4 linked regions of the Styela clava genome follow. The protein of the gene in region 1 interacts with the protein of each later gene in a pairwise test. Links are inferred from orthologs where the notes say so. Each region holds a gene or a part of one and is shown in the gene's direction. Other genes may lie near its edges.

Region 1 (7,720 bases):
ATATTTTTATTCACACCTGACTAGGCTAAAACCAAATATATAAATTTATACAGCAACAATTGTTTTATAATTTATATGATGGTCATCGCTTGAATCAAACTAAGTGAAATTTTGGACCAACAAATAATCCATTTTTATATAAACGAGTTTCTTTTTAGATTGCAAAAGCAAATACCAAACATAGATATAAGCTTGGCATTAAGAAAATGAAGAATGTAACATTTTATAACATGATAAGGTAGCCTGCCATATGACCGAAAAATGTGAATACTATTCGAAGAATCTCGGCCTCATCAATTACAGACGTGCACGTGTGATTTTCCCGATAATTATTTTTATATGAGTCCGTGCGCAGAATTTACCAAGATAGTTTTGATCTAGGTATATATGTATCTTGAATCCCTTTTTCAGCAACGCCCAAACAGTTTAGTTTTCCATGGATCTTGACTATCTTTGCCATTTCCTCACATTGCACGCTATCTAAACTATCTATCTATCTTTGTATCAGATTGAATAGGTCATTATTTGTTTCAGTATTTTGAAGTGCAACAGACCGAAAGTTCGTTATATTTGGGTATATTTTGGTTATTTCTGGCCCAAGAGGTTTGTGTGTCTGTGGGTTCGTGATATTTCTCGTGTAATATAGAGTTTTCAAAATAAACTTTTCTTTTTTACTTTAATATATGTTTTTATCAGTGGCGGCGCGTCAATAGGGCCAACCGGGGCAATGCCCCGGTTGTTTTTTCGGTATAATAAAAAATATTCGAAAAATACCTCAATATCGGTTGCACAGACCGTCTACACTAGCCATATTCTCCCGACATGGTTCATTTTTCGCTCGCAAAGCCTTCGCCGAACGTCGACGGGGCGACGCCGATTTTGCTCATTGTATATCGTATTCTCTCTTTTATCTTCCACTCGCTCGTTTGTTTTCTGTTTCTTTTACTAAATCATTGGGCCGATCGGGGCTAGCCCCGAAATTATGACGACACAATACCGGCGTTTCTTACAACAACGTGTTGACATATTCACGCATTCCTTCTCGTTCGTTGGTTGCTTGAAGAGTTGATAGTTTCCTCGCCTTCGTTTTTGTCGCTTGTTTCGCTATTTGAATCAGTTAGAGACTTTTAGTCCATTTGCTTTCGATTTTCCACATTCCTTTTGAGCTCCTCACTTCTTTCCGGCTTCGCATTTCTTAGCCTTAGACCTCATAATGAATAAGGTTGATGCACTACTTCGCACTCCGTTTTCGCAGCTGCCGCTGGAACAAAAATTAGAGGTACAACGTCTTGGGCCTTATCAACCAAAAAATTGTTCACTGGAACAATCCCATGACGGAGGAAAGCGTCGGCGTACATTCTGCGCAGAAACTTGGTATAAAAAAACACGAATGGTTGTGTTACAGCGAGGACAAAAATGGACTTTTTTGTTTTTATTGCCTACTTTTTGCTACCGCCCGTGACTCACGTTGGTGTAAATTTGGTTTTAGAGATCTTAAACATCTTTCCGAGCGTGCCAGGGATCATCAATCTTCTATGGAGCATCTGGACAATGCAGTAAAATACCGAACATTCGGAAATGTTAATATTGCAGCACAGTTGGATGAAGGACGCGCGGTTTCTATTCGTCGGCACAACCAAAACGTCGAGAAAAATCGCCATGTTCTCGGTCGATTGATAGATGTTTTGAAGTTCATTGGTTTTCACGAGCTGTCCCTCCGTGGGCACGATGAACGGGCTGGCTCTTCTAATAGAGGGGTATTTTTGGATATGGTGGAATACACCGCATCCCTAGATACAGTATTGAGAGATCATCTTGATGCCGCAACTGTTTCGAAAGGGACATCTAAGGATATCCAAAATGATTTGCTCGACTCAATGTATAAAATTTATTTACAACATTTGGCTCTGGAAATTGAGAATTGCCAGTTCCTTTCGATTCAGTCTGACGAGACAACTGACATCACGTGCGTTTCCCAACTGGCTGTGATTTTTCGGTTTGTGAAAGATGGTAAACCTACCGAGAGATTTCACAGCTTTGTACCAATCGTTGATCGCACGGCTTGCGGGATATCGGCTGTACTGAAAAAAGTGTTACAGCCTTACAACGCGAAGTCAAAATTGATAGCTCAAACTTATGACGGCGCGGCAGTCATGAGTGGGTCGAAACATGGTGTTCAAGTTTATTTAAAAGACGATTTTCCTCATGCGCATTTTTTACATTGTTATGCACACCAATTTAACCTCGTTATTAAAAATATGTGTCTTGATACCCCTTTCGTCCGTATATTTTTTGCAAATGTTTCGGGGTTTTCTTCATTTTTTTCCGTTTCGCCGAAGCGCTCTGACCTCCTTCGCCAGATATGTAGCCGCCGTCTCCCAGCTTGTGCACCAACACGTTGAAACTTCCAATCACGCGTGGTGCAGGGCGTGTCCGAAATTAGGTCTGAGCTCGTTGAGTGTTTCAATGGCATTCAGAGCTATCCGGTTTGGGACGAACGCTCTGTGAGGGAGGCGGCAGGTCTAAAGCGTCTGCTAGAAGATGGTGAGTTTTTAATTTTTTCTCGCTTTTTTCTCCACAATATTCTATCACGTGGATGTATTATACGGCGCATTGCAGTCAAGGCTAATGGATGGAGCGTCTGTGCAGTCGTGTATTTCAGACTTCTGCGATGCTGTATCTCGTATCCGGGAAACAATAAAATACGACGACACATGGAGTGCTTCTTTACGCCGCGGGCAAACAACGCAGCGTTTGATTTTGTCTGCAAAGGAATGCTGTGACATTCTTGTGAATCAAATAGGCGATCGTCTGCGCACTGAACACCTTGCCGCGTTCTCTTTGATGAATCCCAAAAATTTTTTAAAATTTGCACGGTAATTTCCCATCCATTTGTTGGCTACTGTTTCCAAATTTTACCCCACGTTAAACGTGGGTAAATTGGAAAATGAATTGCGATGTATATACACCAATCAAACTTTTTTGAACATCACATCAACTTGCGCGCTCTATGGGTTCCTCATAGATAACACTCTAGTAACTACCTTTGCGGCGTCTGCAAAATTTCTGGACATCATTTTGACGACGCCTATTTCTTCCGCCGACGCAGAGCGAACATTCAGCACGCTGAAGCGTAATAAAACGTATCTCAGAAACACAATGAAGCAAGATAGATTAAATTCCTTGGCTGTTTTATCCATTCACAGAGACGTTATTTCTGGGATGCATGACTTTAATCAGCGCGTTATTGAGCATTTTGCTTCCAAGAAACCGCGGCGTGTTGCATATATGTTCAAGCAGTAGAAGTCTAGCAGCATATATATCCATGAGTGAGCGACGCCTGTCTTTATCTTTGCATTAGCTTTCCTTTCTTCATAGTAACGTTTTAAACCTTATTTTAGGTTTTGTCTGCTTTCCCGAAGTTTCTGTTAATATGTCATTGTATTTATCTGGGTAAATATTGCCTTTCCTTTTGAAAGAGGTTTCAAAACGATTGAATGGTTTTTATACTCATAAAATGATGGGAGAACTTACAGCGCTCATTCTGTCCCCATAGATGGGGGTGACTTAGTCCCACAGTAGCTTGCCCCGGTTGTCAAAATGACCACGCGCCGCCACTGGTTTTTATGTGTGTAATATGGGTAAACTGACACATGTGTTTCTGCGTGTTGTAAACCACATCACGGGTTTTGCCAGTTTTTTCGATTTTCCAATCTTTTGCGTGTTCATTGTTTAGTGTATTTTTTTTTCAAGAAGGTTAAAATAAACTTATATCCAAAATTCTGACTCCGAGAATTCAAAATTTCGACTCTGACAAGTTTGCAAATACGACTCCTACAAAAACATGCCAAAGTTTGACTCCACAACTCGCAAGTCTATCATCAGTGCATTGGTGACTACATTGACTGACTTTATTAGTTGCGTTTGATGTAATTTTTAAACACACAAGCGAATTGCAACTTACTACAGTCAGGTAGTACCGGTACTACAATATAGGCTACCAGTAAGATTTATTTCGGCATTCTGATAACGCACCACTTCATCCAACAATAAGCTAAACGGTTTGGCAGAAACGCATAAAAACGAGAGGTAGGATTTACATAGGATAGGATTTTACATATTTATCCCGGGGGAGAGGAAAGCCGATAAGACGGCGTATCCATATGGCGAACCACGGCCTCTCGTCCGGTTACCATTCCAAGTCGGGTACCGGTATGGGATTAGTTTTACTGTATTGTTTGTTTTCGGAAGCATGGACTTGGTGGTGGAGGAAGCCGTAACCGACCAGCGGTTACGTGAACCACCCAACGACGGCAAGGAGTCCAGCAATCCTCTCGCACATAACCATCCCTGCATGGGATTCGAACCTGCGAACCCACGCAGAGTAATTAGAGGTGCGGTGGCAAGCGTATTCCTAACGCTTAGCCCGTTGAGCCACACCGCCGCGCCATACCGTACCGGTACCGTATATATCGCGGAGAAGAGGGAAAACGATAAGACGGCTTGATCACATGCTGACATGGCTGCATGGCGAACCACGGCCTCCTGCCCGTGGTGCGCGATGCGCCACATCTCCGAGTACAAGAGTACGGTTACAAATGGTACAGAAATACAAAAAAATGGTTCTCTGTCTTCAGGCCAAGGTACCGGAAATAGTAACAGTAACTGGCTGACTGGACAGGACTAACCATTACGGTATTACTGTATCAACTCGTTAAGCTACTGCTTCTTTCATTTCTATAGTCTACTTTACCCTAAACATAATATAACAGTGATACACTGGTAAAATGCCTAGAATAACAATTAAAGGAGGTGTGTGGCGGAACACAGAAGATGAAATTCTGAAAGCTGCTGTAATGAAATATGGTCTGAATCAATGGTCTCGTATTGCTTCTCTACTTCACAGAAAGTCTGCGAAGCAGTGCAAAGCTAGATGGTAAGAATAAAAGAACCATCGTTTTACTCTTGCTGCTATTGTGAACTGCTCTGACACTGATATCAACCATATTTTTTCATTAAAATTGCACGGCGAAACATTGCAGAACAAGTTTGGCTACAGTTACTGCAAAAAGTTTTTTTTTCAAATTTTACGTGAAATTTAAAATATTTTGACATTCTCAGCGCAATGATGGCCTTTCATTTAGGACAACCCAGTGGCGTATGTAGGGTATAAAACTCATGTTTTTACTGAAATGATAAGTACAAGTATCTCAATTCAAAATCAGCCATTGAAAATTGTCAGCTAGCGATGAAGGGGGCTTTTCTTAACTCTGCCATGGGTGCCATTTTATATGGATACGTAACTGCAGAACAGGGACAACTTCACACAAAAAATGCTAATCATCTGGTGAAAAAGACTTCAGACATAATATGATTTTTTGTAGGTACGAATGGCTAGATCCGAGCATCAAAAAAACAGAATGGTCAAGAGAGGAAGAAGAGAAGCTTCTTCATTTGGCCAAGTTGATGCCGACACAGTGGCGTACAATTGCTCCAATAGTAGGGAGAACAGCAGCACAATGCCTTGAACATTACGAATATTTACTTGATAAAGCTGCTCAGAAAGAGGATGAAGATGACGATGCTCAGGTTTGCCATGTTTTATAACTAAATGTTTATTACTTCAAATGTAATTGGTTATGTATTTTTTATTGAAATTTAAAAAATTTTGAATGGATGAATTTCTTTTTCATGAGAGCTTTTCTTCTAAACGTTGACAGTATATAACAAGCTACTACTGGATTTTGTTTTCTTTTGTGAACCAACTTGTCATGTTCCGTATTTTACACACTATGTTAGATGGTTATTCCAGACTCAACTCTGTATTGACTAGTAATCGAATACCGATATGCAGAATGCAAGGCCATTCGAATCTTGAAAATATTATACTCTAATGAATTGTAAAAAATTCCATTACTAGTTCTATACTAACTTTAAATTCAAAATTGTGTTATATTTTGGGGGTGTTAGATGCCCCGGAATTATGTTAAAATAAGATTGGGTTGGATGAAATGGGTGATATTGAAAAAAGATGTTTATGTTCTGTGCATGATTTTCTAAAACCCAATGTTATACGCACAAAACTATGCAACCTTTCTGGAATTTTATGCATGTTTTCAATGCTGCAAACAGCTGTTTAATTAACATTTTCGAATGCAAAGGACCCATCACAAAGTCAAAAATGAATGCAGTTGTAATTATAGATTGGGGGTCGGCAAACTAAGATAATTCCATTTTGTCATGCATATAATTGTAATGTGTAGCTTTTATGAAATACGTTCATATTACAGGATGATCCAAGAAAGCTTAAACCTGGAGAGATTGATCCAGCACCAGAAACTAAACCTGCCAGGCCTGATCCAATTGATATGGATGAAGATGAATTAGAGATGTTGAGTGAAGCAAGAGCAAGACTTGCGAATACTCAAGGTCATTAGATATTATTATTAAAATTATGCGAATTTCAATATACAGTATTGGCTAAATGTTTGAAATATTACAGGTAAAAAAGCAAAGCGAAAAGCAAGAGAGAAGCAGCTGGAAGAAGCCAGAAGATTGGCTTCACTTCAAAAACGTAGAGAACTTCGTGCAGCTGGTATTGGAGTTCGTAAAAGGAGGCGAAAGAAACGTGGTGTTGATTATAATGAGGAAATTCCTTTTCGTAAGCTTCCTGCAGCAGGGTTTCATGATACTTCTAATGAGACCTTCAATCCAGATGATCCAGATTTCAAACGTTTGAGACAGGAACATCTTGATGATGTCAGCAGACAAAAGAAGGAATCTCAAGAAAGAAGAAAAGACAAACAAAAAGTCAAGGATAAAGAGCTGCCTTCTCTAATAGCTAAGCCGACAGAACCAGTTAAGAAACGGTCCAAACTTGTGCTTCCTGCTCCACAGATCTCTGATGCAGAATTAGAAGAAGTTGTAAAGCTTGGTCAAGCTTCTGAAGCTGCTAAACAAGTTGTAGAAGAAGGAAATGCTGCTTCTGATGCTCTACTTGCAGATTACAGTGTTACTCCAAACGTATCTGCAATGAGGACTCCGCGCACACCAATGATGCAAGTTGATACTGTTATGAAAGAAGCCCAAAATATAATGGCGCTGTCCAATGTTGACACTCCTTTGAAAGGTGGACTGAACACAGAAGTGACCGATAGTGATTTTTCCGGGATCACTCCGCAACAGAAATACATTCAAACACCAAATACAGTTATTTCTACACCCTTTCAAACTCCTGCTGATAAAAATCCAGCAGCGACACCAGGTATGCTGACTCCGGCTTCTAGCATTCGAAATACACCTGGTATGACACCAGTCAGGGATAAACTTAACATAAATGTAGAAGGTTCAGATGGGGGAGCCACTCCATTTGATGGAATAGATGAAAGACAGCATTTGAAAGCCTCCCTCATAAAGTTACCTGCGCCTAGAAATGATTTTGAAATTGTTCTTCCTGAAGATATGAATGGTGAAGGGGAAGAGGAACATCATGATAATATTCCATCTGATTTTATTGAAGATGCTGCCGAAATAGAGGCAGAAAAACAAGCAAAAATAGAAGCAGCTAGAGCGGCTGAACTTGAGAAAAGGCACACTATTATAAAAAGAGAGCTGCCAAGACCTTCCGTAATAAATGAAACTATTCTTCGACCAATGAATGCAAAAACCAAAGCTAACTTAAACTCGCTTCAACTTGCTGAAGAAGAAATAAAACGAGAAA
Region 2 (8,024 bases), on another chromosome or scaffold:
TAAGGCTTGATGAATGATTCATTCATGATAAGTGTAAGAGACACACTTAGGCTATGAATTACATATTTATCCCGAGGGAGATGAAAGCCGATAAGACGATCATATCGCGAACCAGTCCATGTCGGGTATGAGATTAGTTAAACAGTTATTTTTAGCATGTACTTGATGGTGGAGGAAGCCGTAACCGACCAGCTGTTACGTGAACCACTCTACGTCAGCGAGAAGTCCAGCAATCCTCTCGCACATAACTATCTCCACGCGGATTCGATGCAAACCCATGTAGGTTTTCAGAGGTGCGGTGGCGAGCGTATTCTTAACACTTAGCACGATGCGCCACACCTCCGAGGCACTTACAATAACACTACTTATTACCCAACTTTCAAAGTATGAAAGGATTGTTAGCCAAATTACAACCACAGAGAAGTTTACAATTCAGCACCCAGGGGTAAGTTAAAGATTGCTGAACTCCTGGTCAGTTACGACTTCTTCCACTGTTCGTGCATACCATGAATTGGATTGGTAATTACCAAATGAAAAGCTGTGATTTACCATATGATCAGGACGTCACATCAATTATAATAAATCAAATCTTAAATTGAACCTACGTTTTTCCAGGAGGTTTTTTCTTCCAAAACAAATCATCACTAGTGATACAGTGTTCCCTTGCACCTGGAAACTAAACAAATACCTACTTGAATATCAAGATTTTTCATATATACAAAGTAGAATTATCACAAGCATAGCTGACCATTTCAATAATAAAGGTAGGGCTGTAGAGTGGCGGAAACTTATGCCTGAGCCATATAGAACTCTAACTGTTTCCTAGTTGATTGGTTGGTCGAGCAGTCTTGATTGTATATTATGCCGAGCATAGCACTGTACATAAATGCTAATTCACTAATTCGTAATTAAAAAGCAGATTTCACTGATTCTCACATTAGGATATCTTGGTCTTCCACCGACAGCAATGACAATATTATCACTTTGTAAATAGATCTTGTCTCCATTTTTCTTCGTACCTCTCACAGTGTTTGCGTCAACAAAGCTTCCATATGCATTGTAGTATTTCACTTTTCTGACAAAAATATAGGAAAGGATTTACATATTTATTCCGAGGGAGAGGAAAACCGATAAAGCAGCTTAATCATATGGCACACGGACTCTCGTCGGGTTAACAGTCAATGTCGGGTATGGGATTAGTTAGCCAATTATTTTTGTTTTCAGATTCATTCTTGACAATACTCTGCTACATGATCTGAAGCTAAAATGTCCAAAATAAAAGAAAATGTTAAAAAAATATGGTCATTTGAAACGATTTGGGTTTTAATGTGTTTGTATTTCTGTCCATGACTTTTCATAAAGCACATAAAATGGTCTCCATTACTAAAAAAGCAGTATGCAGGTCGCGTTTTCTCAATAGTCAAGCAACTCTGAGATTATTACCTTTCATTTAATTGTACTTTATGTCCCCAATTTAATGATCTGACATGCATCTGCACTGCATGGCTCAGCTCTTCCCTAAAAAAAATATTGCGATTATAATTCGCTTATTGCATTGCATGTCAATTTAAAAATATTAAATTCATTTCTTTCCATTTTCAAATAGCAAATGACTACATAAAAAGTTCCCGTCCCATACTTGAATATATAGGATCGAATTTACAGGTTTCACACATTTATCCGAGAGAAAGGAAAACCAATAAGACGGCTTGATCATAATCACCCAATGTGCAGATATACCAAATCATGCAATTTCTAAAACATTCATAAATACATGCTGAATGGTTGGCACAACCACTCACACAAATATTATAAAATTTAATTAAAGAAAGGATGAAATCAAACTAAAACATTAATAAAAAAAGAGTGAAGGTGACAATTCTAATTTATAATGTATTTTGACTTTTAAATCCTATAACCAATATTCATACCAATTATTTGTTATATCTCCTGGAATATTCCAACCAAACTTTCTTGCGTCATGTATTGAATGACCTAGTAATGCAGCTTGATGCATCAATTTTTTCGGTATGCAACCAACATTCACACATGTGCCTCCAATGTCCCATTTTGTGCCTGATAGAAACAAAAAGTATTTAAATGGCCAGCTCTAAGACAGTCACAAACAAGCTTGGGATAACACTACACCTGGTTTAAATGTGAATGATAATAAATTATAAGGAATTATTTATCTATTGAATGTTAATATTCTATCCAATTCAAGAGTCCTGCTGCACACTGACACAAATGTGATTCTGTAACGTTTCGTCTGACCAGAGTCAAGACTTCCTCAGACAAGCAGTTAAAACAATGGCCAGAAATGAACAATCATACAGTTTAAATAAAGCCATTGCAATCTAAACAAATAATTTAGTTGAGTTATAGCACTTTTCTATTGAAACACAATTACTATGCCATGGAGGATAGATGACGATCAATAGATGCATATAAATGTCTTGTCTGGAGATTCCATGACTGACCATCTATATTGCAATAACAGCTTGAAAAACACAGAATACCAATTTGATACACAAATGTTACGTTACCAATTGGTGTGGGCTTTACAAAATCCAAAACAGCAACAGTTTTTCCAAGATCAGCCGCCTCTTTTCCACAAGCCAATCCACCTGATCCACCACCAATGACTATCAAGTCATATTGTTCTTTTTGTGCACCTACAAAAGATTTATGCAACATATTGATGACACAGCAATATAATTTATATGCTATTAATCAATTTTATTTTTAATCATTCTTACATAAAACAAAACAAGAATAAACGAACAAATAAAATGCAGAGTATCTTGAGGGCGAGCATGCAAAATAATAACTATTGTACATGTACAACGTACATGTATGAATTTCTGCAATGTTTAAAATGTGCAACAAATTTACTTAATAATTGTATCTATGCAGAGGTGTTTGAATATGATTATATCAGTGCATACTTAGTTCATTATTAGGCTATCCTATCCTCTATAAATTTAAGAATTATATTCAATTCCCATCAGACTGCAGACGGAAACATGGGATCACAAGATTAGGAATAATGACAAGATTCCAACAAATTTGCAATAAAATATTGCAATTCCTTAATTCTGTGTCATAAACCAATGTTGATATAGGCTGTTATCTAAAACATAATATTAAAGCTTACCCGAAGAAAACTTTCGCAAATGTCTCCACAGAAGTCTCCGGTAAGTCGGACAAAACCCCTCCAATCCTCGTAAAGTCAGCATCATAAACCCGCTTGTTGGCTGAGATAGAATTAAAAAAATCCGCGAGATGGTACAACTGCGCACTCCTGATATTTCAGTATTTTTCAATTCTTCAGATTGCTTGTGATTTGCTTTGTCTTCGTTTGTATTTGGAAAAAAAAAGAATTTTCACGGAGTGGGAGTGGGCTAAACTGTTTTACAACTGGTAAAACGTTCAGGGAATCAAAAATACTGAAATCAAAATTAGCGCGTCATTGACCGCGACGTCACTCAAAACACTTCGCTTTGGTTTTCCGTTTGTCTTGTTGTTAAGCTTTTTACTAAATGGTAATTATGACGGATTATCATATTTTGTAGTGGACCAAATTTTCAATTTGGGCTCAATCAAGTTAACGATAATTTTTAGTTACCTTGTTAGTCATTAATTGAAGAATTAGGCATTACGTCTAAGAATTTAAGCTCGTTATACTTATAGCCTACAATCCAAGTGCTGTGCATTTTGACATGTTCAATTAAGTGGAATTCTCCGTTTAATACTGAATTTTAATGTGATCAATAGATTAAATGTATGGTTCCATTAATATTCATCAGATAATTAGCGGTATTATCCATTTAAATGCCTGACTAGGATACTGAAATGCATTTTGTGAACCTCGATCGGATTTTATCTTCGATAATGAATGAGATGATTCATTACGGTACCGGTACTGGTGCGCAATAGAAGATATAATGGTGATGCAGTATATTATATAAGTGTATCGCAACTTTCAGACCAGACAATTTGCTAGTTTCTACATCTGTAAATGGTAGACCTGGTACCACTTTCCTTTTAAATGCTGTAGATATGAGAGAAAATATAGCTATATAGTAAAAATAGTCAGATAGTAAGTTTATCAACTGTCATGTACAGTTTATCAACTGTATTAGCATGATAAAAGGGTATTAAGAAATTTCAGACCAGGGAATTCCAGAATAATTTAAATTGGATATATTTGATGATATTGTAAATCATTACAGTGTTAACCTTCCAAAGTGAATATTTTTGAACATAAATTGGCTTGTGCCGAGTTCCTTGTTTATCTTTACCAAAATTAGAACATACGGTATTTCATTGTCCGTTGTTCAGTAATTGAAAATATTGTTCAAAATACAAGATCACTTAATTCTGGCCATCCATAGTTTCGAATTTTCTATTTTTTTATCATAAAACCTAATAATTTTGTTTCAAACTAATCATTCTCGCATAAATCAATAGGGCCCAGTTCTCTCATTCCAAGATGTCTCGACTCCAATAAAACAAACACTTCAAAAGAGGCATCTGGCATGTTGGCAGATGCGCCATGCTTGCTAATCTGCAAAAACTCTTGAAAGCTTCGCTAAATTTTTTTTCTTAGGTAAATCAAATTATTTTTCCCCCAAGAAATCCAATTGACGTTTTTAGATTGTGCTTTCGTTTAGTTCATTGCGTAGTGCCAGTTTGTCGATATGGAGGTATAGATTGTCTCGTAAAGGAGTGGTTGGCACTCATTGCTATAATTGATGTCTTTCAATGTGGGTCTATCCCAGATTCGGAGAATTGTGTCATACTGTAAATCAATATCAGGGCAATTAGAGTCTGATATTAAAGGAGCCTTCTTTTGAGTGAAGGTGTGAAACATAATTAAATGGTAATAAAGCGTACAAGGTACCGAATATTTCTGCCTTGGCGATGTCTATTTCAAGGGTTGTCCAATGCTCTGAATTCATACTTGTCTTTCTGATGTTTTGATTGTATTAAATTAAAATTGATATTTTCATTTTTCTTTTTGGATATTATCGATATAGTATTTTTCTAAAAAAAAGGCAATGTCTGCCGCTACTGATGCCAATAACAGGCAGGATGCTTGGGACAATGAACAGAATGAGGAATATCAAAAACAAATTGAAACTTACATTGCTTGGGTTAACAGCCAGCTTAAAAAGAGAGCAGGGAATAAGCCTGTAACGGATTTAAAAACAGATTTCCGTGATGGAGTCGTTTTAGTTACACTAGTTGAAATTATTTCCGGAGAAAAATTGGATGGAGTTTATATTCCTGCGAAAAATCTTGAAGAAAAAAGACGAAATATTAATTCAGTATTAAAGTTTTTGACGAAGAAAAGTATCCGAATGCATCACATTACTGAGAAAGATGTAATTAATGGTAATGTCAAAAGTCTGATGAAATTAATTCTGACCTTGGCCGCACACTTTAAACCTGCTAGTGTCGGAAAAAAGAAAACGGTTAATGCAGCTGCAGCAGCAAATGCCAAAGTTGCACTGAGTGATATTCACAAAAATGTAAGCTTATCTGGAGGTTTTCGCCCTCGTTGGAAGAGCAGCACCCCTACCTCAGACTATAGAAGAAACAATAATAGCAGTTCCAGTTCATCCAGAACCACATCAAACCGGTCAGATCTGCCAAAAACTGGTTCAGACGAGACAGATTCATTTTCATTGAATAAATTATCTTCTTCTGATGACGTTTGGGCATCACCAAGTTTACCTCAGCGGTCCAGTAGAACTGGCAATGATTGCCTTGCGACAACAACGGTGCAGAATCTCTCTTCTATAAATAGTGAAGTTATACTGACATCTGGTGGAAGCAGGGATGCATCGAATGTTTCTGAGCAATTGACGGAACATTATAATGATTTAGAAAGTGATTTATCGAGCACTTGTGATTTAATATCAGTGTTACAAAATTTACTTTTAAATGGAGAGGAACCAGGCGATGGTGATAATGAGCAGAGTCTTCCTTTAGAAGCTTCTTCCCAAGACGAAGAAAACGTAATTCTAAGAAGTCGACTTGATTTGAGTCAACATGAAAATAATCGATTGAAAACCGAACTTACCGATGTACGACAAGAATGCAGGAGTACATCAGCAAACATATCAGCGCTGCGTAGTCGTACGCAACAACAAGAAAAAGAGCTCTTGTCAATGAAACAACAAATTTTGAAATTAAATTTGGCGAGTGATAATTTGAAACAAGAAAAAGATTATTTAGCAGCTCAAATAGAGGAAAATAAACGGGCAAAACAATCTCTATCAGATGAAGTGTCGGAAAAAAATATTACCATTAAGCATTTAAAAGATGAACTAACTTCAATGTCTACACAACTCAAAAAAATTGGAGACGAAAGTAAGAGTAAATTAACCTCTATGCAAAGGTTGGAATCACAAGTACAAGAGTTAAGTCAACAATTACGGGTTTTACAGCGTTATAAACAATCAAGTAAACCAGAACGAAATGGTAATGAAACGACTGTCATTTCAGAGTCTCTAAACAGCCTTCGTTCGAATTTAGCACCTCATGATTCACGACAACACATTATTGACACGCTTGAACAAGCAGTGATGTCATTAACGGAACGAGACCAGCGTAACAACAACCAGAATTATGGTCGTAAAAGTGAACTATCAGTGCCACGTTTATCTGCGAGTCATTCACCTAGAAATCGTAAAAAAGACATGGCGCAAAAAACTGCGTCAACGACGGTTATTTACTTCACAGAGAGAAACATGACGCCAGCCAGAGCTTCAATTTTTAAAAAAATTGGCGAAATAACTTTGCGAGATTTTAAAAGTGTAATTCAAGTACCTGCCGATAATTACAAATTCAATTTTAAAGCACTTGACCCAGAATTTGGGACAGTAAAAAAGGAAATTTTCAATGATAATGACATTGTCCCTGGTTGGGAGGGTAAAATTGTAGCATGGTTAGAAAGAGAATAGACGCTAGAACTCAGATTCACACAATTTTTATTCTTTCAGACCTTAGCCCACTGTCTATTCAAGTATCCCAATTCAAAAACTGTATTTTAAAGTTACATTTTTCCAAATTAAATTACTGTTGTAATACTTAGAGCCTATAATTCCGTTATTTATAGAAAAGCTATTTTCTGCAATAGCAGTCTCATTTGCTAGGTTAATGTATTAATTAGTCTTTATATAAATACCATTATACTGTAGGAGTCATTTGCTAGTCTTCATTAAACTGATCGTATATATATATGTATTCATATGATAAAACCAAAAATTGCTCAATATTGTTATGAAATAAGTACTAAATAACATATTGTTTAATCAGTGGAAGATGACAATAAATGCATTCAAATAAGATCATTTGAAAATACCATTTTGTGAAATTAACTCATCATGTAGTGGAATCTTTAATTCAATTCATATAATTTGGGTTATATCATGATATCAATGAAAAAAAGGCTTATTAGGAATAACCATTCTGTTATAGACATTCATATACTACTGCTATAACAATTTATATCATTCTTTATTGGTGCTGATGACAAAGTATTTTATTTCAAGTGTTTAAGTGTAATTTCATAGTTCCGAAGACATCGCCTACCTACAATATAATATATTTCAATGCATTGCCGCAGTATTATTGAATAAGCTTCTGTCACATTTTAAGGTTTTGCGAAAATCGCATTTTTCTAATTTCCATATCTTCATAGCAGGGGTTCTTAACTTGGGGCCGCAGAGCAGTTGGAGGGGGGGCCACAATTCTAGGGTCTTGAGGGCTAAAAGCCTCCGGGTGGGGGCCACGAGCCATAAACGGTTGGGAACCACTGCTTTATAGCAAAGTCTAAAATTGACATAAGGCACTAAGATAAATACAACTTTGAAACTTATACCGAAGGGGAGACCCTGTCCATAATAACAGAAGATTAATAAAGTCTGTTTCTGAAATGTGACATATGCTACTATAATTTTACTGTGGTTACACAATATCAATTTTGTCTACACATTTTTACTTCGAGGGTA
Region 3 (7,664 bases), on another chromosome or scaffold:
GGATGATGATAAGATAATATGTATAAATAAACAAACTAGCGCAAGTTCAAACAAAAAGGGGACTATTTAAACAATGATTTATATACAGGCGGGTGCCTACTTCACGTACATATTTTTTATCAAAAGATATCATCGTGCTGAGCGGTTGGACTACCCGGCTGCGGTTCGCTGGTTCCCGCCAACGAATAATCATTTATGCTGGGAATACCAAAGTCCTCCCCCCCGTAGGGTGGTTCATGTAACCGATAGTCGGTTGCGGCTTTCTACACCATCAAGGCCAGGCATCTGAAACAAATAACCAGTGGCGCATCATTCTGAGTGTTAGGAATACGCTCGTCATCGTACCTCTGATTGCTGTACGTGGGTTCGCAGGTTCGAATACCGTTGGGATATTTATGTGAGATAGGATTGTCGGACTCCTCACCGCGGTAGGGTTGTTCACGTAACCGCTGGTCGGTTGCGGCTTCTTCGACCATCAATTCCAAGCATCTGAAAGAAATACCTAGCTGACTAATATCATGTCTTACCCGAAACGGAGTGGTAATCGGACGACACACGGTCGTAAACCATCTTATCGGCTTTCCTCTCCCGGGTGAAATATTTCAATCCTATCTAAATTCGAACTGAATAACTAATTCTCCAGTCATATGATTGAACTGGCTTATCAACTTTTCTCACTTCCAGGAAAAAAATGAAAATTCACATATTGCTGTATAGAATAGTTTCCAGTAAATTCAGGATGCCCTATTTCACGGTGAACCGCGGACATTCATATGCCTTTGTTACGTCGATTAGCATTTTTTCGCTAAGCTTCAGCTTTAATTACGATGGCGGAAGTAGACAATTAAATCGATGTAAAGGGTAATGTACACGAAAATGACTCGATTAATGTTATGTGAATAAACTTGCTTTTCATGTTTTATGTAAATTCTAACGTAAATCGTAACTTGGCTGATAGTTAATTTGCGCAAAAACGTTTGCGGCACGCATTGAATTTTTGGCTCGTTGTGGACTTATTCAACCGCTCCGCGGACTCAAGTTGGGAAACACTGCTCTAACAGCTAGCTTGTGCGAAGCGAACAACGCGTGTCATAAAATGAATATCCATGAGGCTCAAAAAGTTTTAAAGGTTAAATGGTTCAATAAAATAATCCCGAATTGGAAATAATTTAAAAACGTATTTATACTTAATAAAACACAAGTATCTCAATCCAATAACTATCGTTGAAAGTTGTCAATCAACGATCGAAGGAGCGCATTTTTAAACTTTGTCAAAAGACCCATTTTACGTAGATATGACACTACATATCTACATCGCATATTGTACACTATTCAGTCTGTACAAAAGTCAGATTGCGAGGTGCTCATACTGTTTAGGAATAGTTAAAAGTCTGAACAGTTAACTGAAATAGAATTTTAAACACCGGACTGGAGGTTTGGCGCATCACACTGACGTTAAAAATACGCTTGTCATCGCTCTGTTCCCTAAAAATAATTTTGTTCTTCACTGTCGCATTATGCTTCACGTTCGTGTAACTCATCTGTTAAGTATTCGAAACCCAAAGCAAATGTATGTTTACGTGGGTAATATTGGTAAACTGGCATATATATTTCACGTGTTTTCAAATCTTGATAAAGGTTTTGTTAGTTTCCCAATCTTCTGTGAGTTCATTGTTTTGTGTAGGTTTTTTTACGGGAAAATCAAAATAAACTCATACTCATAAATAACTATCACCCTATCTCGTCGCCACTGGAATCCCAATATTTGTTGAATTTCAGCAATACTACCTGTTACTACTGTCAACGTAGTCGGTAAATCCTGTAATTTTTTTCTATGAGTCAACTGACTTAACGAAGGAAAAACTTTGAAGTGTTGGAGATGAATTTTTTTGACCTATGACCCCACTAACATTTTATTTGGTGCTTCAGCATGTGAAAAATACAATTGAATAATTCCATGCCGGAATTGCTCTGGAATTGAGTTCGACAATAAAAGGTTTCTCGGGGTTATTTACTTCTGTGAATGCTGCGTTGGGATAACGTTTTAGATTCGTTATGGAGTGAAGAAAGCCAACGAGTGAGCACTACAATAGGTACGTTGTTGCAAGACCTTACGCAGTACCGGTACCGGCACGGCGGCAAAACTGCAAGAACTCTTAGCAACCCACTCGTTCATTACCGGTATCATCTTTCACTAGATTCAAACCTGCGAACTAACACAGGGTACGGTATCGTAATCAAGGTTGCGGTGGTCAACGTATTGCGCATTCATAACAATTAGCACGAAATCCTATATTTATATTCCAGTTCAGTCAGTCGGTGTCATTCAGTCATTCAAATAACTGAATACCGGTAGTGATTCCATGTTCATGTTCTGATGTTGTCTGTGTTGTAGGCAACATTTCTACTATTACAAATCATAGTAACATGACTCACTCACCCGATTTAACTGAAATTCCTTATTATATATGTATAATGATCATTTTCTAAACACTGAACCAGTTATGAAAAGTGATGATACCGGTATTAGAATTTTCACACTTATGCACTTTGGTGAAGTTGAGATTATTCGTGTCTAGTGTAGTTTCGTACTTCAAGTACTTGGCATATGTCAGTTCTAACCCCAAAAATTGTTACCCTATGCCAACTATAAGTACTTGAGGTATGAAACTACTCAAGACCAGATTATTTTGTTACAGGCATTCAAAATAATAATGGAAAGTTATTGGACTCTGATTTTGCATCGCTTCTTTTAAAATATTCCAGTTCATACCGGTTTAGATATGTATAGATACCGTAATTGATTTACAACAGATACCTTCAACTGCAGTTTCTATAGAATGGCTCTGGTACGAAGCAATATTCTGAGCCGAGTTTTTTATAAGCCTTCCATGCTTGAAACGAAACTTCATTTACCACTTCTTGAACAAGTCCGATACCGCAAGCCGAAGTGGTTACTACCACGTCGAGCACCTTCAAAAGCAGGGATATATTTTAATAAACCGAGACCTACGGAACATGATGTAAAGAAAAGTGAATTAATCTATAAATCTTATAATGAAATGCTGAGATCAATAGCTGCTGCTTTCCAAGAAGAAATATTGATAAACGAAGCTAAAAAGGAATCAAAAACTGTCTCAAAAAATAGTTTCGATGAACAAAGCCACCATGAAAAATGTATGGCGTATAATGAAGCTCATAACAAAGAAATGCGGGAAAAACGAGAACAAAAACTCGATCGAATATTGGAAAACCAAGAACAACAATTGAGCCAGAAAGTCAGTTTATTAGAAAAAAAATTCGAACATAAACTTGCTAAATATGAGCAAGAAGTTTTGACAGCGATAGACGAATCTGAAAATTGGATTAGCGAGGAAAATTTGGAAGAAAAAATTGAAGAAGCTTTAGACAATGTGGTTAACTTTAATTTTGCTGTCAAAAGAAATGGCAGAATTGCGTTAAGAACTGTGATACCATAGTATTTTAATCTGTGATGCTAGAGTGCATGGGATTCATAGAGTCTTGTTACAATTAGAAAACATTGGCAACTGACTTCATAACGAAGTTTTGAAATTGCAACTGGACTTTATAATCTTTTGTCATCATTGAGGCATTACATGTGGTATAACAGTGAAAGTGCTGCTATATGTTACTTGTGTGCTTAAGGTTCTGAGGTGCACATAAGGTGCATAATTGACGATAACAGTGTTTCCCAACATTTATGGCTCGTGGCGCTTTTAGCACTCATTGCCCCCCTGTTTATCATTCCAGTGGGATTCAAAGTGTTATTTTGATTGGCAGATTCCAAAGCCTATTAAATGTTCAAACAATTCATGCTCAACGAAGTGAAAAGACCCTGTGAAATAAGCTTATCAAGCTATTAAAAAGAAGAACAGGGTTTTTCATTTAGTAAAACTGAAATGAGTTTTGCGGCTAGCAATGTGGCCCCTCTCCAACTGCTCTGTGGCTTCCTTAGGGAGCCACAGGCCCGTGGTTGGGAACCAATGCCACAGTATTTTCTGCTGTGGTGCAGTACATGGTGCTTATAAAGTCTTGTAACAAATACAAAATATTGAGAACTGACTTCATGACAAAAATTTTAATTTGTGGTAGTGGTAGGATCCCATGAAGATCCTGTCTATCTTTTGTTTGGGACCTGGTTTAGTATGATTCCAACTTCGTCCTCTGGTGGGAATCATTGAGACATTAAATCAGTGTAACAGTGAAAGTGCTGCTATATGTTACTTTTTTTGTTGATAAGGTTTTGATTAATAAATCGTACAAAAGTTGGCTGGACCCAGGTTTGAATAAAATTTTGCTTTGTTTGAAGTTTCGCTTTCACGACTGCTAGTAAACTCCAGTACGATTTGATTTCAATCTAACCCTAGAACCAAATATCTTATTTAATGTTTGTGGCAAAATATATTTCATCCCAAAATGGAGCGTCTTTATTAATGAACTGTTCTGTAAAATGAGTATCGATATATGCTAATGCTCAAAATATTGTGTGAAGGTATTCATGCCGTCTTTTTTTATCTTATAGTCTTTAACCCATAGGAAGGACTGAATTCCTGATAATACATTCTTTATGTTTTGGAATCATCTTCATCATTTAAACTCTAAAACTATGTGTTCCTATTTTTATCTTTTAGAATTCTGTACCGTTAGACCTATTGTAGAATAAGAATATGCCATCTGTGGATGAGCTGGTCTTGGAAGAAGATGACCTACCTTATGAAGAAGAGATATTGCGCAATCCATTCTCTGTCAAATGCTGGCTGAGGTAGGTTTATTTATTACTTATCGATCTTAAGATCGGTAAGTATATTGATAGGTATTTGTATGTATGTCTGTCTGTCTGTGTGTGTGTGTGTCTGTTAGATGCGCGCGATATCTCACGAAAGCGAGATTGAATCTGCTCCAGATTTTGCATGTGCATTCATCTTATCTCGGACCAGATTCCTATTGATTTTGGGCGAATTATGTCGTATAATTAGCGAGTTATCAATCAATTATTGATTAAGTGATCTAGATTTTTGTAAAGCGAGAGGATTTTGAGACCCGCCGAGTGTGTGTGTGCGACGCGCAGTGCGCAAGTTACACGAGCGGATGAAGCGGATGAAAACTGCAGTGTCTGTTTTGGGGGATCCCCTAACTATCGATCGATAAGTATTCGGTTTCCAACCGATATTCTCGTTGGTTTTTTAATCACATATTTAGAATTAGGCTATACATAAGCGCCCACTGCTAGGTCGGGATCTACTATTGATCAAAAGAGCCGGAATCTTTCTGGCTCGACATTGCCTAGACATGACATGGGCAAACAACGGCGAATTCAATCTGATGCTGCCACAACCAAACTAAATTTGTATTTTGATGTTTTAGGAAAAAATACCTCGGAAATTTGTCGAGATTGCGATAAAATTTGGTTTTGTCACGAAGCTCATTGTTTACATTTTTGCTTTTGTAACACTGTAAATAAAATTCTGTTTATAAAATGTAACTTTTAATGTCATTCTTACATGGCCCCCAAGTCTTGGTTGGCAAAATTTTTGACCTCTGGTTCAAAAACCTTACTCAACCGTGGCCTAGCAGGGTGAGGTGACTATGGAATTTGAACTCCTGATTTCAACTTGAAGTGTAACGCTTCAACAACTAAACCCCCCCGACTCAGGTTTGTGTTCAATGATCAGAACATGGACTTTGCTAAACTTTTATTTTCACTATCAAGTTGTTGTGTATGCTCTATGTAATTTTACATTAGTCAATACCACCCAGATGTTACACCTGGAGGGTTATTAGTCGTTAATGAATATGATCCACTGGAAACCGAAGTATAAAGTACACCTTAGCTTGGAAGATTGTTTGTCGCTTGCGATAATTTCCTTAGCGTACAAATTTACTGAAAGATTAAGGTCTGAAACGATTAAAGACAGATGGCAAATATCTGTGACTTTACAACCCAATTCTCTATGTATTATCCGCACCTGGATATAATGTGCAAAACGACCCACTTATACCTCAAACTCACCCATCCAAATTCATGCCATTCTGAAAATTCAGCATCTCTGCAGAGCGATTTTGACACTGTAACCCGCCTATCTGCGCCACTGCTGAAATCCAATTATTCTGTCTATACCCATGTTGCTTGCTGATCTTCCAATGTTATTCCCTGCAACAAATACGTATTGCTTCACATCAGGTGAACAAGCAGGCAACGATTGTTATCGACAACAGTTATTTGTGAATAAACTGTTCTTTATTCATGGTTTCATATTGAGTTTTGAATCTGTGGCCCAGTAACCAAGTCTATTGAATATAAGGATAGTATTATAGTAAAAGAAAGCCCACCCCGACTCTGAATGCTTTATATGCGAAAGTCCTAAGTTATTTATTTTTTTTAGGTACATTGATCACAAAGAAAATGCACCTTATAAGCAGCTCAACATGGTCTATGAGAGAGCTTTGAAAGAACTTCCTGGAAGCTATAAGTTATGGTACAACTATCTACGAATCAGACGAAGCCAGGTTAAAGGTCGATGTCCTACGGACTCAATGTTTGAAGAAGTTAATAACGCACATGAACGAGCGTTAGTTTTTATGCACAAAATGCCCCGGATTTGGATAGATTATTGTAAATTTCTTGTGGATCAAAGATGTCTGACGAGAACGCGTCGTACTTTTGATCGCTGCCTTGAAGCTCTTCCAGTGACGCAGCATGATCGGATTTGGCCGTTGTATATTGAATTTGTGAAAAAATATCCCATTCATGAAACAGCAGTTCGAGTTTTTCGTCGAATGCTGAAACTCATTCCAGAAGAAAGTGAAGACTACGTGGAATATTTAATATCGATCGATCGTTACGATGAGGCAGCTACAAAACTTGCGGAAATTGTTAACGACGAGAGTTTTGCGTCGAAACATGGAAAGACGAATCATTTACTTTGGCATGAGTTATGTGAACTCATTTCAAAGAATCCTGATAAAGTACATTCGCTAAAAGTCGAGGCAATTATTCGTGGTGGTTTAAAACGTTTCACTGACCAATTAGGACAACTTTGGTGCGCTTTAGCTGATTATTACATCAGAAGCGGACTTTTTGAACGAGCGAGAGAGATTTACGAAGAAGCAATAGAAACTGTGACCACTGTCCGTGATTTTACACAAATTTTCGATGCGTACGCTCAATTTGAAGAGTCCGTTATTAGTTCGAAAATGGAAGAGGCGGCTGAAGAGGAACAGAATGAAGAAGATGACATTGATATTGAATTACGACTCGCAAGGTTCGAACATTTAATTACGAGACGTCCATTACTTCTCAATAGCGTCCTCTTGAGGCAGAATCCACACAATGTAAACGAATGGCTTAAACGAGTCGAGCTTTACGAAGATAACTTAGCACAGGTCATCAATACATACACAGAAGCTATACAGACAATAGAAATACCAAAATCCGTTGGAAAGATTTCTAATCTCTGGGTTTCCTTCGCTAAATTCTATGAAAAGCATGATCAAATTGACGACGCTCGTACAATTTTTGGAAAAGCGGTCCTCGTGTCTTACAAAGGCGTTGAAGATCTGGCCACCGTGTGGTGTGAGTGGGCTGAAATGGAACTACGACACGAGAATTTTGATGGCGCAATCAATTTAATGAAACGAGCGAC
Region 4 (6,892 bases), on another chromosome or scaffold:
GATATATTTTTCGTTTTTTAGGACGTCATGATGATCAATTTAAAAGCTAGCTAATTCAACATAAAATGAATCAACCGTGATGAATTTGAACTGACCGTAGTGATCAACAACCTCACTTAAATTTGCTTGTTTACAATCCATGACTTTAGAAACCTTACTTGAACATTTAATATATATTCTATATATTCCCGTAACCAAGTTTCCTACCTCTGTATCATACCGCCCTAATTAATTTTAATTATAATTACCGGTACTTTTATTGATTAACAATATTTAAAATAATTTGGACGTTAATTTGGTTAGTTTTGGCTTCTATCTGGTGAGTGAAGCAGGGGTAGCCCACCTCTTCATGCATCCAACTTGGCAATTCTGATTGGGCAATTTGGAATTAGGTGACTCCAATTATAATCAGCTTGACGATATCTTTTGAGGAATATTTTTCTATCCACAGTATATAACTCTTTTTTGACTAATTCGGTATCCAATTCGGCAATCCAATTATTATTTGGTGTGGCCGCAGGGATGGCCATTTCCGAATACTAAGCTATTCCGGATACATTCTAAAATTGAAAATAACACATTTTTGTTTTAGTTTATTAAAACCCAGTAAATTAGGAAATAAGCTTCAATAGAAATATCAGAATAAAGCCACAAACCAACAGTATATGTACACAAAGTAATTGATAGCTCATAGCTATCAATAAAAAAATAATAGCAACTTGTGACACAGTCAGTTTATTAAAATTATTCACTCTGTACAAATGACCATATGAAAAGATAGCCAAGGAGTTGTCTGACGCTTTCTATCATTGGTACCATGATATTTCGATAATAGTCAAGTCTATTGACAAAATACTACTTCAGATAATTGTGTATATTTTCTAAGAGTAATAAAATTTATTGGCAATACAGACAAATGAAACAAGCAACAACAATCGAAAATCCATTTTGCCTTCGAAAATTCTAATATTTAAGCCTAGAGTATTCTACCTCTTACCAGTATATTTGTATATTAATTTATGTGAATCATATTGTTATTATGTGTAACATATTGTTGTGTTTGAAATTAGAAATAAATTATTAGAGGATGGATGACCATCACTGCCAGCCGCGCAGCCAGAATTTTCGAAATCGGAAATTCCCATTGCCGCCTTTAACACCCACCGCGATTCTGCGCTCGTTAAAAGAGCCGTCTTTTCAGCGTATAATGATCATCCTGTTACGTAAAATATTCAATCCATGACAACTACGAGATTCTAAAATATCTTTATATATTAATTTAATGTGTCCAACGTAACTCGCGGCTTCTTCTTCTTACGTCAAAAAAAACATTACTATTCGGTCCTTGGTGATCTGTGACCTAGAAGTACGAAATAAACTGCCTGATGTACTTAATTTTAATACGTATTTTTGCAATCTTGCCAACTCGTTATCGCCGTTAGAAAAATCCCAAATAATGAAATAAAATCTTGTTAAGTGTAGAGTATATTTCGTTTCATACAATGAATATACATATAAAGTTTAGCAGTGAATTTAAAAATACATATTCATCGCCGCGATTATACCACCTGTTAAAAGAGTCAACTTTTACAACAAATAATATGACAACGAATACATATTTTTCTGTTGTGCAAAGTGATGAATTCGTGACCGATTCGGGCATATTTAAAATGTCTTGCTTTATTAATTTAATTGTCTTCAATTTAACCTGCGGTTGCGTCGACAGAATAAAATCCTCACCACTCTTATATACCATTGCACCCGCGGTCATAAAAATAGAAACGTGTGGTAAACTGCCCGATTAATTAAAGTTTTGATCCCTATTTTGCGAATTCGGCAAATATTTAGATGTAGCCTGCTTGTTATTAGTGACTCCGCTCAATCGAAATGCTGCCACTCTGATTATTTTTAGATAAAACCGTTCGAAAAACCCATAAATCTGCTGTAACATCTCAGAGTAAAATTTATTTCATCACAATAAAATTGATTGAATATACTTTAGATTAATTATATTATATACATCCTCAGAACCCGGGAAAAAGTCGCGTTTCAAACCTTGTATCATTATTCGACGGCAATTTAAAGTAATGGATATTCAGGCAAATCCCGCCCTCAATTCGTGACGATATGTTTCTAAACGACGACCAAACATAATGTGTGCCAGAGGCACACGAAATTTTGCGATTTTCACTGCGTAGAAAAGCGTTTTTTAAATTTTCGCGGGCCTCAGTAAAACTTATATCGATTACGGTTTTATTTTCAGTATTTTAAATTGCCGCTTTTCAATCAAAAAGTTGCGTTGTCTCTAGAAACTCGCCGCCGATGAACGTATTTACCAGATTCACAATTCTGTGCGGGTACAAAAATAAAATAATTGTCATCGTTATCGTGGAACAAATTTGTGGAAAAATCACGCGCAAGTTTCAATCGAGAATGTTTTCATTCAACGGAAACGTCTTGAAAGCGGCGTCGAAAATGTGTGACGTCACACAAATATCCGATATTCTTATGAACGTTAATTCCGATATTCGGAAACGTGATATTCGAATACTTTATTCGAATTGGCCATCCCTGGCGTGTGGGAAAAGAATTTATTCATTTTTTTTATTTGTTTGCCAATTTTCTTCTTACTGAGTAATTGATTTTATGTCTCGCTTTTTTCACTCCCGACCTTATCATGCTTCGACGATTGTATGTTTGTGTGTGTGTGTGTGTGTGTGTGCGTGCGTTTATTAGTTTTGATACTTTTGGGTGAGCGAAGACGTACTACTTCTTTTATCAATACCTCTCCACCTAAAATATGTACGCTTTAAACCTTGCTTGAAGTTTCGTTTGCTTTCCCGACCATGTAATCAGTTTTATTTATTTTGTTTTTATCAATTGCTTTATCGTCTATTGCTGATTATGGAGTCGAAATAAACTTTTACTTATACGTATACAATTTAAGCCTACGAAGGAGTACACCATGGCCGCAAATCAAGAGCGCCTCGAAGCGGTGACCTAAACGCACATAACAACAGCTTGATTTACACCGTAACCCAAATAAAATCACATTTGGGACAGATATAAAGGGAAACAGGGTTTGCTTTTCATTTGTTTTCGGGCCTAATTAATTACTTGAAATGTAGGAGGAGGTGCACTAGTTAGAGCTTAGAAAGTGGTCGTCTTGACCATTAAGATTTTAAATGCTTTATCTCAGCTTTCACTCAAGAATTATGAGGAAATGTGGAAACAGGAATACCTGTGACTACCTCTTACCGGTACTGGTATTTCCAGACTTTATCTTTCTGACTTAGGAATCAGAACTTTGCTTTTTTTGTTAATGTACCGGTGCCGGTAGTCGACTTTACGGTACAGCAGTATCACTGGCATTTCAGCATTTTGTTTCTTACTTAGTTCTGTAGTTGTCTGACTTTATTATATTTACAGGCGCGGCGGTGTGGCTCAACGGGTTAAGCGTTAGGAATACGCTCGCCACCGCACCTCTAATTACTCTGCGTGGGTTCGCAGGTTCGAATCCCATGCTCGGATGGTTATGTGCGAGAGGATTGCTGGACTCCTCGCCGTCGTTGGGTGGTTCACGTAACCGCTGGTCGGTTACGGCTTCCTCCACCACCAAGTCCATGCTTCCGAAAACAAACAAGACAGTGTAACTAACTAATCCCATACCCGACTTGGAATGGTAACCGGACGAGAGGCCGTGGTTCGCCATATGGATAAGCCGTCTTATCGCCTTTCCTCTCCCCCGGGATAATTATGTAAATCCTATCCTATCCAATTTGGTGAACATTCTAAACAAATTTCATAAAAATTCTGAAATTGGTAAGTTTCGAAATTTGTAAATACAATACACTTTATATTCCAATATACATCTTTTTTATTAAAGATTTTGAGCAATAATACTAAATTTGAATAATCATACTCGAAATGGGAGAAGAAGTAATGAAAAAGACGAGAGATACTCTCGGAAAGATTATTAAAAAACCTCCACTGACGGACAAGTTGCTTTCAAAACCACCGTTTCGATTTCTACATGATATATTCACAGAGGTTTGTATGAAAATGTTTTTGAATAAGTTATATCTCAAAATTACGATCTTGATGGTGTGACTTTTGATGAAAATTATTTGCCTCCTAAATTAAGCATGTACTATCCTTTAAAAGCGAGGATTGGCATATCAATCAATATATGAAATAGTTGGCTATTCCAAATAATAATTGCCAAACATCATCAATATTTTGGGTTTAAAATAGAAAAAAGCTGTTAATGGTTAATGTGATAATTTACTCAATTAGTACCACAAAGGAAAAAACGAAAATACTTTTACAAAATATTATGATTTTTTATCATATTTGTCCATAACCCATTTGATTTGTTCAGGGTATTCGATAGTGGGTTTTGAAAATGACAGTTTTTGTAAAAAATTCTCACATTTTACTGCTCAGCTGTATTTAAGACTAATACGATTTCTGATCTAAATACAGTCATAAAGACAGAATGATTACAATTAAAATTAGTGTGTGTACCAGGTTAGGGTTCGGCCATAATTTAATCCGATTTTCCTTATGTTAGTTCAGTAACGAGTTCGGGCCCTCCCCATATGTTTCAGTCCCTCCACACAACTTGATGTAGAGTAGGCGAACAAAATTAGTTACCTCAATATTGGAACACACACTTCTGGAGCGCCGTCTTGTTTGTACTAGCTGATATCTAATAATGTACTGTTGATTATTGTTATAACAAATATGCAAACTTTCTAGGTGATCAGAACAACAGGATTTTTAAATGGACTGTTTACTTCATCAGAGATGGATTCTAAGAATGTGTCTGTAAGTTGTTTAGTCAGATATAATTTAATTTTTTATCGCATTCATCATAAATGATGGGAATAAAAACAGTAATTATTAGTTTAGATAAACCATCTTGCCGTGAATAAGCCACTCTCTGTTAAGCAAAGAAATAAGGCCCTATTCTGAATTTTAACCAAAAAATTTTTAATTTTTATTTTGTTGGGGATCCTATACATGGAAAGCGAGAGATTTTTACGGCCTTCAAATTTTTGTAATCGTTCAGGGCAAGAAAATATCTTCCAGTGGTACCAAATTTTTTTGATACATTCTCCCCTTGGCTCATTTCCCCAACATGTCAGAGTTCTGTTTTCGGTTGTTCTTTAATCAATAATGGATTATAAACTAGTGATCTGCATAACTTGCACTCTGAGTTTTGTATGCTTTATTTGAATAGTTTATAATGTAGGCAAAAATATGTATTATAATAATATCACACAAGTAAAAGATATTAGTAATACTATGGAGAAAAATTTCCTCAGGTAAAACATAAATTTTTTTCTTTGGGGTTAAATTTCACCTCGATTGGAAAACACTGTTGCCATTAATAACCCATGCATGGCCATCCAAGTCTTCTCATCCTTTTACCCTTCAGTTTTTAGATAGTTATGTTATTTACTCCATACAGATGCATGGACACTTTTCACTAGCAGTTTCTTCTTTGTTTAGGCAAAAGAAGATAAAATGGCATTTCTTCAAAAAGTTATCGACGTTGTGTCAATAGTATCTGGTGACCAACTAGCTGCTAGACCATCAAAAATTGTCGCAGGACACGAGCCTGAGAAAACTAATGAATTACTTCAAGCGATTGCTAAATGTATTCATAAAAATGTATGTTGTTGATCATTAGTACCATAATTGAAATTTAATTTACTACTAAGTGCTAATTGTAGGAAACATGATTTCAAACATCTCATTAGAGGTAGTAGGAAATTGTGTATCGAACTGCAGGTCTGTTCTCATTGCCTACTTCAGATTCATATGAAGTGGTTGTTGCCACAAGGATGCTTGAACGAGATAGTATTGAAAGATAAATAAGAATATCATAATCTCTCCCCATGAAATAGCAAGCATATTTGAGAGCTTCCATTAGATTATAGTCCCTAACTTCTTCAGATAAAACGAGACATAAGCTAATTAAACAGTGAATAATACATAATGTATTGTCATCTAACAAAACCTCCATAATATACTTGCTATTTGGGGAAAAAATGATGTCATTCTCATTAGCCACAACTTTTTATTTGAAATCCAAAGAGACACATGCTAACTATGTTCTAAGTCTAATTTTTCTGATATTTTTGTGTATTTGTTTTCTTGACTAGAATCTTGTTTAGGAAGAGAATCAAATATTTTGTTCAAAATTTAATATAGGTTTCATCAGATGATGCAGTTCAACAAGTCCTCACTGGTAAGAAAACATCATCAAAAGTTCAAGAGAAACCTCCCACTGGATCTTCAAAAAAGAAAGAAGGAAAAGAAAACAGGTTATTATTAAAATGAATTTCAGCTTTTTTTTTTTGTAATACCAACTCTTGAAACAGTGGCTGCTGGACCTTCAATAAACACTCATATTTTGTAAACATGCTTTAAAGTAAATGGTCTACAGATGCTTTGACGCAATGCCATAGAACAGGGTGGTCTAAGGTTGTCAGCTCCGCGGGCCACAAAATCATTTTTGCATTGCTCGCAGGCCTCAATAGTGCCAGGATTAGGTGAACAGTGCAATACAAAACAGACGCTTTTATTGTGCAAACACATAGTTATCAGACATTGCCATCCAAGGCTAATAGAATCCGCATTAGATTTTTAGTTTTCTATTGTTAGCATGTATTCCCGACCAAAAAGATAGAAAGCCAGATAATAATTTAGACTGTCAAGCACATCATTCAACTTCGCTAGTTGCCTCAACTAGCCATAACACTAGTCAATTCAGTGACATTAGTGGTGTAACAATATGTAAAAAGATTTTTTTCTGATTAATTTTATTACAAAACAATTCGAAATGCTATTTTTTGATTACTCTCCGAATGTGACACGAGCC

The links.
Region 2: the proteins of cell division cycle 5-like protein (region 1) and dixin-like interact in a two-hybrid assay, tested with the Homo sapiens proteins (2 studies listed by BioGRID and IntAct). The link is inferred for Styela clava from reciprocal best matches to the Homo sapiens genes CDC5L and DIXDC1.
Region 3: the proteins of cell division cycle 5-like protein (region 1) and pre-mRNA-splicing factor SYF1-like interact in a two-hybrid assay, tested with the Homo sapiens proteins (2 studies listed by BioGRID and IntAct, with this or other methods). The link is inferred for Styela clava from reciprocal best matches to the Homo sapiens genes CDC5L and XAB2.
Region 4: the proteins of cell division cycle 5-like protein (region 1) and TRAF3-interacting protein 1-like interact in a two-hybrid assay, tested with the Homo sapiens proteins (2 studies listed by BioGRID and IntAct). The link is inferred for Styela clava from reciprocal best matches to the Homo sapiens genes CDC5L and TRAF3IP1.

What each region holds. Positions count from the first base shown.
Region 1 is NC_135252.1:11,955,309-11,963,028, reverse strand, and holds the start of cell division cycle 5-like protein, read left to right. Parts: upstream 1-4,709; 5' UTR 4,710-4,787; coding exon 4,788-4,936; intron 4,937-5,384; coding exon 5,385-5,589; intron 5,590-6,290; coding exon 6,291-6,429; intron 6,430-6,502; coding exon 6,503-7,720.
Region 2 is NC_135264.1:14,176,140-14,184,163, reverse strand, and holds the start of dixin-like, read left to right. Parts: upstream 1-5,022; 5' UTR 5,023-5,063; coding exon 5,064-6,974; 3' UTR 6,975-8,024. Other genes in the region: thioredoxin reductase 2, mitochondrial-like, read right to left, coding at 606-676, 937-1,075, 1,444-1,518, 1,932-2,076, 2,547-2,675, 3,158-3,242. UniProt on the Homo sapiens protein: Positive effector of the Wnt signaling pathway; activates WNT3A signaling via DVL2. Regulates JNK activation by AXIN1 and DVL2.
Region 3 is NC_135255.1:19,051,465-19,059,128, forward strand, and holds the start of pre-mRNA-splicing factor SYF1-like, read left to right. Parts: upstream 1-4,647; 5' UTR 4,648-4,688; coding exon 4,689-4,783; intron 4,784-6,404; coding exon 6,405-7,664. Other genes in the region: small ribosomal subunit protein mS26-like, read left to right, coding at 2,841-3,479. UniProt on the Homo sapiens protein: Involved in pre-mRNA splicing as component of the spliceosome. Involved in transcription-coupled repair (TCR), transcription and pre-mRNA splicing.
Region 4 is NC_135261.1:18,105,760-18,112,651, reverse strand, and holds the start of TRAF3-interacting protein 1-like, read left to right. Parts: upstream 1-3,889; 5' UTR 3,890-3,927; coding exon 3,928-4,050; intron 4,051-4,761; coding exon 4,762-4,830; intron 4,831-5,517; coding exon 5,518-5,679; intron 5,680-6,222; coding exon 6,223-6,335; intron 6,336-6,892.